Linked DNA regions of Kluyveromyces lactis. The protein of the gene in region 1 interacts with the protein of each later gene in a pairwise test. Links are inferred from orthologs where the notes say so. Each region holds a gene or a part of one and is shown in the gene's direction. Other genes may lie near its edges.

What was found.
Region 2: the proteins of CUE5 (region 1) and RSP5 interact in binary tests that used the Saccharomyces cerevisiae proteins (3 or more experiments, as listed by UniProt). The link is inferred for Kluyveromyces lactis from reciprocal best matches to the Saccharomyces cerevisiae genes CUE5 and RSP5.
Region 3: the proteins of CUE5 (region 1) and ATG8 interact in binary tests that used the Saccharomyces cerevisiae proteins (3 or more experiments, as listed by UniProt). The link is inferred for Kluyveromyces lactis from reciprocal best matches to the Saccharomyces cerevisiae genes CUE5 and ATG8.

The regions. Positions count from the first base shown.
Region 1 is NC_006042.1:1,483,883-1,487,176, reverse strand, and holds CUE5 (ubiquitin-binding protein CUE5), read left to right. Parts: upstream 1-1,510; coding exon 1,511-2,794; downstream 2,795-3,294. Other genes in the region: hydroxyacylglutathione hydrolase GLO4, read left to right, coding at 1-771. UniProt on the Saccharomyces cerevisiae protein: Connects the ubiquitin pathway to autophagy by functioning as a ubiquitin-ATG8 adapter and thus mediating autophagic clearance of ubiquitin conjugates under starvation conditions.
Region 2 is NC_006041.1:1,196,662-1,200,938, forward strand, and holds RSP5 (NEDD4 family E3 ubiquitin-protein ligase), read left to right. Parts: upstream 1-1,471; coding exon 1,472-3,931; downstream 3,932-4,277. Other genes in the region: DSE1 (Dse1p), read right to left, coding at 1-525. UniProt on the Saccharomyces cerevisiae protein: E3 ubiquitin-protein ligase which accepts ubiquitin from an E2 ubiquitin-conjugating enzyme in the form of a thioester and then directly transfers the ubiquitin to targeted substrates.
Region 3 is NC_006041.1:1,828,476-1,830,577, forward strand, and holds ATG8 (ubiquitin-like protein ATG8), read left to right. Parts: upstream 1-1,221; coding exon 1,222-1,596; downstream 1,597-2,102. Other genes in the region: RTT105 (Rtt105p), read left to right, coding at 152-715.

The DNA.
Region 1 (3,294 bases):
TTATTGAGCACCCAGGATAAGAAAAAGAGTTGGTTGATCGATCCTGCTGAGACATTGGAAGTGATGAATGATCTTGGCAGTGATGAAGCAAAAAGCATTGAAGCTCTTGTAAACACTCATCATCACTATGATCATGCTGGTGGCAATGTGTCAACACTTGCAGCCTTGAATGAAAAGGGCAATAATATATCTCGAGTCATTGCCGGTTCTCAACGTTCTCCAATTGCGAATGATATCCCAGATAACTTACATGAATACACCTTGGGGAACTTGAAAATCTTGTGTATTAGAACACCTTGCCATACCCAAGATTCCACTTGTTACTACGTGCGTGACCCTGAAACCAAAGAACAAGCAATCTTCACCGGTGACACTTTGTTCACTGGTGGATGTGGGAGGTTTTTCGAAGGAACTGCTGAAGAAATGGACGATGCATTGAACTTCAGACTACTAGGGAATACAGGAGATACTTCCAATTGGAAGAATGTGAAAGTATATCCAGGTCATGAGTATACTGCAGGAAACGTAAGTTTCATCCGCAATTACATATACTTGAAGAAAAGCGATAACGACCATTTCAATAAATTGGAATCTTTTACCAAGGAACACGAAGTCACCACTGGTCACTTTACCATTGCCGATGAACTATCATTCAATCCCTTTATGAGACTTGATGATCCAATTGTTAGAAGACAAGTCGGAGATTCTCAAGGTTGTTGGACCAGAGCCCAAGTTATGGACAAGTTAAGAAACATGAAGAACAAGGCATGATACATGACATGTCCACACTATATGTATTTATTAAGTAACGCCTTACAATTCGTTTATGAGTGATCTACGGTAAAAAAATAGGCTTAAGTGAAAATGTGCGTGAAACATAGAGCGATCTTAGAAACCCATCCCAAAATTTTCGAGTCTTAAGAGCCTGGATGCAAAACATCCAGTTCATACGAACCAGCAAGCCGGCACGAATTCAGCCCTATGTTAAACTATATGCCAGAAAGTTTTTTTTAACCAACGGCATCTAATTTCTCTCTGTTGTCCACGCTCGACGATGTATCAGGTTAGAAGGACCCCTGATCGCCAAGTTCTTATCTAAACAGAGAATAATAAGATTCCGAGGAGTTAGGAAAAAAAAACAAATATATCAAGATCTATAAAGGTAAAATGACAGAGTGATATAGTATTAAGAGAGATTACAAGCACCTCTTTAAAGTCTTCCTCTTTATATAGTCCAAACTATTTTCTTCAACTTTGACGTGATGAGATGAAAAAGTGAAAAAAAATAAGGCCCTTACCCGGATAACCGAATGGACAGGATGATGTGGGAAAGAAATAGGAATTATAGGAAGAATATATATAGATTCTTTAGGACTGCAAAACCAGAACCCCTATTAGAACATATCCGTGCAGAATCTCGCCAATATTCAATTACAGAACCAACCAGGATATTAGAAGAAGATAAATTACAGGTGCAAATTCTTTTTGATTAGAAAGATCTAATATAACCATGAGTGACAAAGTTGAAGACGTCGCAATTGACGTTGATTCTAATGAAGACAAGAAGATCGAAGATGTCAAGGAAACAGTTGAAGAAGCGGCAACTAAGGCTTCAAATGTAGAAGCAGAAGTTCCAGCAGACACTGAAACCGAAACAGAGAACGTGAAAAAAGCTGAAAAACAGGAGGAAGGGCAAGATCACGGTCAGGAGGACGAGGACGATTCAGCACCTCCCTTGCCTGTAAGAAAATCGGTTTCTCCAGAAGAACAGAGTGAAAAGGAAAATCCTATGTTAAAACAATTGAAGGAAGCGTTCCCAAACATTGAGGAGAAATATGTGAAGGCAGTGTTAATTGCTTCTCAGGGCCAGTTGGATCCTGCTTTCAACGCTCTTTTATTCATATCGGACCCTGACTTTGAAAAAGAGGCTCCATTACCAACTAGACCGGTGCAAGCGCCAACTCGTGGTGTAAGACGTGAGCCAAAAACGCAGTTAGAGCAGGACGAAGAATTGGCTCGTCAATTGGATAAGAAATTCAACAAACATGGCAATAGCGCTTCGGAGAGAACCGCACGCGAGCGTAGAATCAGACAACGTGAACGTGATTACGAGAGGAGGTACGGAGCAGGTGCAATTCCACCAAAGGGAAGACGTGATTCTGACGGCTATGACAATTTCGAAGATGACGGTGAAGACGATGTGTTCAGTAATTTCGTCGATAAGGAGTTACCCCAGATTCGTGAAAATTTGAACCGTAATATCCAGGAAACTGGTAAAAAGATCAGTACATGGTTCAGTGGCATCACCAAGAATCTGGTGGATGACGATCCAAATTATTCCGAATCCCGTCCAAAATATTCTCAGTCGAGGTTTAACTCCTTCGGAGATCGTTACCGTGATGGCAATGACAACGTCGATGGCCAAACGAAATTACAAAATGCTGGGATCTCATTGCACAACGATGATCTAGATTTTGGATCTGATGACGATATCCCACCCCAATTACCATCAAGGGCCAAGAAAGTCGTAGCAGAGACAACATACATAGACACTCCAGAACAAGTAAGGGGTAAGAATAACCGTTCTCCTTTGAAAACCTTGGCACCGCACAGTGAATCTCCAACAAGATCCACACCCACTTCTAAATTAAACACAAGCACGGACAAAACTGCCTCAACCGAAGAAAAATCCGATGTAAAGCTTGTAACTCCAACTGCAAGCAATAAGAACACAGAAGGGCCAATCACGTTAGAAGATCAAGATATTATCACAGATTCTGATTTGGATATTTAATCGCAGGTTGTGTTTGTACAACTGACCACTACTTAAATATTATTTCCTCAAGCAACAAGACGTATATTTACTACTTCCAGAACACAGTTGTCACCACATCGAGTATTTTAAAAAAATTCAGCTATTGTTGTACATGTTTATCTTCAATTGAAATTTAAACTTTCAGATAATGTAGATAAGGTTAATAATGATATATCTCATCATCTCGAGGGGATACCTGTGTTTAGTTAGGTAAGACATTTTACATGAATCCACATTCAGTAATGATTCTTTTGATCCTTCAAAAGATAAAAAAACACACAAATCAAGATGTAATTGAACCATCACAACTGAACGTATTCAGAGACAAGAATATGTGTGGCACCTACCCTTCACTTATTCCTGTTCGTTCAATGTTCCAGCCACGTAGAGGAAACTCGGCTACTTCTTATGAAGGACATCATCTCATCCTCTTATATAGGAAAGACCAATAAAATTTTCAGTTTTTCCCTGTTACTAAA
Region 2 (4,277 bases), on another chromosome or scaffold:
TACGGTGTCATTATTCTGCGATTGCATGATATCTGTAGCCAGAATAGATTTTCCTGGAACAGTAATGGTTTGTAAACTATGGAGCAATTTCCCACCGCGAGCCTGCTCATTAATTTCATTATTCCGCAATTGGAACAACTGTAAATTATCCGATGTCTGTGATGTGGAAAGTAGAATGGTGTCCCTATCCAATGACATTGAAGTGACGTCCCTAGTGTCTTCTGACAGTTTCCAACAATCTGTCTTCAATTTTTTCGTGACAATGACATCGTTCAAATCACCACTAACCTTCCTTAGCAAGGAACTGTTCAATTTCGAAGCCTCTATCTTGCAATTCCGCCTGACAATAGTACTGTTCTCGTCATCGCTAATATCTCTTCTACTCTTCTTGACGATGATGGCGTTCTGTCTGAATATCTCTGGAGCCCTGTAGAATTCAGTCATAATTTTCGCAATATACAGTTTCTTATTTGACTTTGTGTAATGTTTGCACTGCAGAGAATAATTGATTGTTAACAGGTACATCCATTAGAGGAGTAAGAGCTGGTCACTTTTAGAAACGACATGTTTATATATGATACAGGGCAAATAAAAATAGCACTAGCAAACACTGAGCCAATCAAAAATAGGACCAAACGCAGAACAAGCAACAAAAATTAGAGAAAGGCACGTTACCTATTGAGTGTGTTAGGCAGCCATATGAGCAAACATCCTGTTTATGTTTGCAAGAGGTTTGTTTACCTGTAAACAAACCCAGCATCTTTAAAGCTGGCAAAGGCTTGTTTATATTTATGTCATTTTGGACGATATGATTTTTGTCACGTGATGCCCATAATCGTCCCATATGCACGTCATCTGACAGCAATACGGCAGATTCTTGCAACCTGGTGGCTACCACCGCCATTAATGCCGTTTCCGAATTTACTGACATACTCGGCGTAGCCTGGTATCCCTCTTTAGTACTCTTTTTCCAGGTTTCAATCTCCTCACGTGACAAGTAAAGGAGAAAAGAAAATTGTGATTTGCATATTTTAATTAAGGAAACAAAACAAGAACAAAGATACTTTACTTGCAAACAACATCCGATTTAATCATCAGATCAAGGTGCTAGAGGATAAGCAAACGTGCATTGACAGTGGCAAAAAGGACGGTACGGAAAAGGGTATTGAGCAAGGTATTGATCTGATTTTTCTTTGCTTCTTTTTAGAGGAATCATCAACTTTTTTTCTGGTTCTGTTTCCTGTTCTGTTTCTTTGCAATTACGACAATTAAAGAAGACAAAAGACAAAAAATAAAACCTTATAGGCTTTCTCGGGCGGTTTTATTTGTTTAATAATTATTGCTGTTACTACCACTTATCAGATATCTAGTGTTTGAAGACTTTTCAATTTGTTATTGAGATTCCACTTTGAAGGAGAAATTATCGGATTTGAAATTGACAAACCATTAAAAAAATAAAAAGCTGCGAAATATGTCTATCTCTGTGAAACTAGTGGCTGCTGAGTCATTGAACAGGAGGGATGTGTTTAGATCTCCTGATCCGTTTGCAGTTTTGACTATCGATGGTTCTCAGACGAAATCCACAGCGGCTGCAAAGAAGACGTTGAATCCCTACTGGAATGAAGTATTTCAATTCAAAAATGTGAGTGAAAATTCGATCTTAACTGTTCAAGTGTTTGATCAGAAAAAGTTCAAGAAGAAAGATCAAGGGTTCCTAGGTGTTGTCAACGTTCGTATTGGTGACATTCTGGGTCACTTGGACGAAGATACTGCCACTTCGAACGGTAGAGCTCGTGAAGAGACTATTACTAGAGATTTAAAACGTTCTAACGACGGGTTGTCAGTAAGTGGTAGAATAATATTGGTTTTGACGGTTCTCCCCAGAGCTGGCAGCCGTAATGGAGCTGCTGGTGCCGCAGGTAGTGCTGTTGCTGGTTCCGGAGCAGCTCGTCAATCGGATTCGATGACGAACGCTTCCACTATCGACAACAGATTGATTGCTCAGACTGTTGCTAACAACTTGCAAACTACTACATTAGACAACCAGGATTCTGCGAATGCTGCAGGTACCGCCAGTTCAGGTTCAGGTGCCGGTTCAAGTGATGCTGCTCCATCCGGTCAACCTTCGACAGCTCAATCTCAATCGTCAGCTAGCAGGCAATACTCATCGTTTGAAGATCAATATGGTCGTTTACCCCCAGGATGGGAAAGAAGAACGGATAACTTTGGAAGAACATATTATGTGGATCATAATACAAGGACAACAACATGGAAAAGACCCACTTTGGATCAATCCGAGGTTCAACGTGTCAACACCGAACTAGAACGTAGACAACACAGAGGAAGAACTTTACCTGATGGTGGTGCTCAATCAGAGGGCTCGTCTTCATCAAACGTTGCTGTTCATACCGGTACTGGATCTCAAACTCCTGCCGTAAACGGTTCAGCAGCTGCTACTTTTGCTGCCACTGGGGGTACCACATCGGGGTTGGGTGAACTTCCACCAGGTTGGGAACAACGGTTCACTCCTGAAGGAAGAGCGTACTTCGTTGATCACAACACAAGAACCACGACATGGGTCGATCCAAGAAGACAACAATATATTAGAACCTATGGGCCTTCCACAAATACCATACAACAACAACCTGTATCTCAGTTAGGACCTTTGCCTTCTGGTTGGGAGATGAGATTGACAAACACAGCCCGTGTATACTTCGTTGACCATAACACTAAGACCACCACTTGGGATGATCCTAGATTACCTTCTTCCTTGGATCAAAACGTTCCACAGTATAAGCGTGACTTCAGACGTAAGGTTATTTACTTCAGATCCCAACCGGCTTTAAGAATTCTACCAGGTCAATGTCACATCAGAGTACGCAGAAAGAATATCTTCGAAGATTCTTACCAAGAAATAATGAGACAAACGCCAGAAGACTTAAAGAAGAGACTAATGATCAAATTTGACGGTGAAGAAGGTTTAGATTATGGTGGTGTTTCAAGAGAATTCTTCTTTTTACTATCACACGAGATGTTTAATCCCTTCTACTGTCTATTTGAATATTCTGCCCATGATAACTATACTATCCAAATCAATCCAAACAGTGGTATCAACCCTGAGCATTTGAACTACTTCAAGTTCATTGGTAGAGTCGTCGGTTTAGGTGTATTCCATAGAAGGTTCTTGGATGCATTCTTCGTTGGTGCTCTATATAAGATGATGCTAAGAAAGAAGGTAGTATTACAAGATATGGAAGGTGTCGATTCAGAAGTCTACAACTCCTTGAAATGGATTTTAGAAAATAGCATAGATGGCATTTTAGATCTAACATTTAATGTTGATGATGAAAGATTTGGTGAACTGGTTGTCGTCGATTTGAAACCAAACGGCAGAGAAATCGAAGTCACAGATGAAAACAAGAAAGAATATGTTGAACTATATACCCAATGGAGGATCGCAGACAGAGTTCAAGAACAATTTAAGGCATTTATGGATGGATTTAACGAATTGGTTCCTGAAGATCTAGTCAACGTGTTTGATGAACGTGAACTTGAATTATTGATTGGTGGTATTGCAGAAATTGATGTTGAAGACTGGAAAAAACACACAGATTATCGTGGATACCAAGAGTCTGACGAAGTTATCCAGTGGTTCTGGAAATGTATCACTGAATGGGACAACGAGCAAAGAGCACGTTTGTTACAATTCACAACTGGTACATCGCGTATCCCGGTCAATGGATTCAAAGATTTGCAAGGTTCTGATGGTCCAAGAAGATTCACTATCGAAAAAGCAGGTGAAGTTCAACAACTACCCAAGTCACACACTTGTTTCAACAGAGTGGATCTTCCACCATACACTGATTATGAATCTTTCAAGCAGAAGCTAACATTAGCAGTGGAAGAAACCATCGGATTTGGACAAGAGTAGTTGAATGAATCTTTCAATCTTTTCAATACCCTGCACCTTCTCAATTATTCAATCAGAAAGCGCAAGCACAAACACAAGCACAGACATATATATGTTATAGATATATTGTTGCCAAAACATGTGTATATTATTACATAGAAATTTTTTTCTTAACCTCGTTAGGCCTCAACTTATGGTGCTTTGTTATATTTTATTGCCATTATCAGGTGTTACTTTATATAGGTATGCTATAATGTGGGAAGCAATTGACAACGAAGTATCTGGTTCCTAACCGACGGAGTTTTGTAATTGCCCAGAGATTGATATATCCAGCTTAAATTTTGGGATAATAACGAAAATTAGCTGC
Region 3 (2,102 bases), on another chromosome or scaffold:
ATGAAGTTAATCGAACAAAAAACCATATCTCTAGACCAGCATCATTAAACGCCAAAAGGATTAAGGTTATTTCTATGTACGCTGGGGAAAGAAGCCTGGAGCAGGCCGTCCGGTGTATTGCAGACGTTAATCCACAACTTTGAAGCTCTACATGAACTGTATACCGAGCAGTCCGGTTCATGGCAGATATCACGAAGAAGATAGCGATTCCGATCTTGACAATGTCCAAAGTAACGATGGAAGAGCCGATTCTAATATCACTGATGAAATATTGGAAGAGCGAAAGCTCAAATATCAAAGGTACAAGCAACCGTTATCATCATCGTCCCCCATTAGAGACCTTATGAGAGAAAGAAGGAAGGGCAGACTACGGGAACTGGCAAGAGAGAAGAAGATCAATAGCTACAGAAACGACATGGAACAATTCGTCATGGAACAAGAATACCTACGACACTTGCAAGACATGCAACAAGAAGCACAGAAACACGAGATACCGCCAGATGAGATTGATAGACTGGTAGAAGATGAAGGAGAGGTCGTGAATAGTGCCGATGAACCCGCTATGTTGAATAATATTTCCACAAAGAGGGAGCCAAAACAGCTAAATGAGGATGAAGAGCTGATACGGCTGATAGAACTGCAGGAAGAGTACGAATCCTTGATGGAGCAAGAACAACAGGAGCTCGAGGAAACCTTATCTGGCTTTAGCATATAGAGCAGCAGCTTCCACACATATATACGTACATAGTATTGTTACCCGGATATCACGTGATTCATTTTCTGTCTTTCCCACGTGACTTAAGGGTCAACGGCATCTCAAACCGTTTAAGGGGGGAACACTTTTGTTTTGTCATTTTCCAAACAGCAGAAAGGGTATAAAAAGGGAACACACGCGAAGATCAAAGCGGCGCATATCATCGATAACTAAACAAAGAGCGTTTTTCTTAGCTACCCAGTAATCTGTTTGAGTTTTGCAAGAAAAGTGCAGTACAGTGCTATTACGTGCAAGTTTTTTTCTTGAGAGAGAGAAAGAACCAGAAAGACGGATAAAAAGAGACACAACACGATTCAAGAGTTGGAACAAATCAGCTAGACTTTTGAAAGTTAAGTTACAAACATCTTTTCGGGTTATTAGTTTGAAATAGAGACAGGAGAATATTTCAAGAGAGTTTGATTATTTTTATCGGTGTTACGTATTATAGGAGAGAGTTTTAAAACGCAATGAAATCTGCATTCAAATCTGAGTTCCCATTTGAAAAGAGAAAGGCTGAATCTGAAAGGATAGTGCAAAAGTTCCATAACCGTATTCCAGTGATCTGTGAAAGAGGTGGCAAATCGGATATTCCAGACATTGATAAACGCAAATATTTGGTGCCAGGAGATTTGACTGTTGGCCAATTTGTTTATGTAATTAGAAAGAGAATCAAGCTACCTGCTGAAAAGGCTATTTTCATCTTTGTCAATGATACTTTACCTCCAACAGCAGCTTTAATGTCTTCTATTTACCAACAACACAAGGATAAGGACGGGTTCCTTTATGTATCCTATTCGAGTGAAAACACTTTTGGTGACGATGCCCTGTTTTCTGAGGAATGAGATTAAGTTAAACTTTCTTCCCTTTAAGTTTTCTTTTATGATTCCATTAGGTTGTTCTGCTTGATGCAAAACAAGTAACTAATGCACAATTTTGAACCAGATATTGTTGAAAAGATGATCTAAAAGAAAGAACCTGAATAACAATATTGAAGTGATGATAAGATGAAATGCATTGTCGAATGTCTACGATGCTATTATTTTCTATTCTTCCACACCTTTTGCTCTAGATATATACCGAAGCAGTATTTGAAATCTTTCTGATATGTTTTCCCTTCTATTTATCCTATTCTCATATTTCTAGCTGCAACAGTTCCCTAGATCTGGACAAAGCGTTGCTTATAATACCTGCTGATGAAGTCATATGTTGCCGTTCCATAATGAAATCTCTAGGCTTTTTTTTTTCACTTCGAAAGAGGTTCTTCATAAATATACAATTTTATATACCTCTTCAGCAGATTGCAGGTCGAAATTCGGTTTAATATATTCTTTCCATAACCAAAGACTTA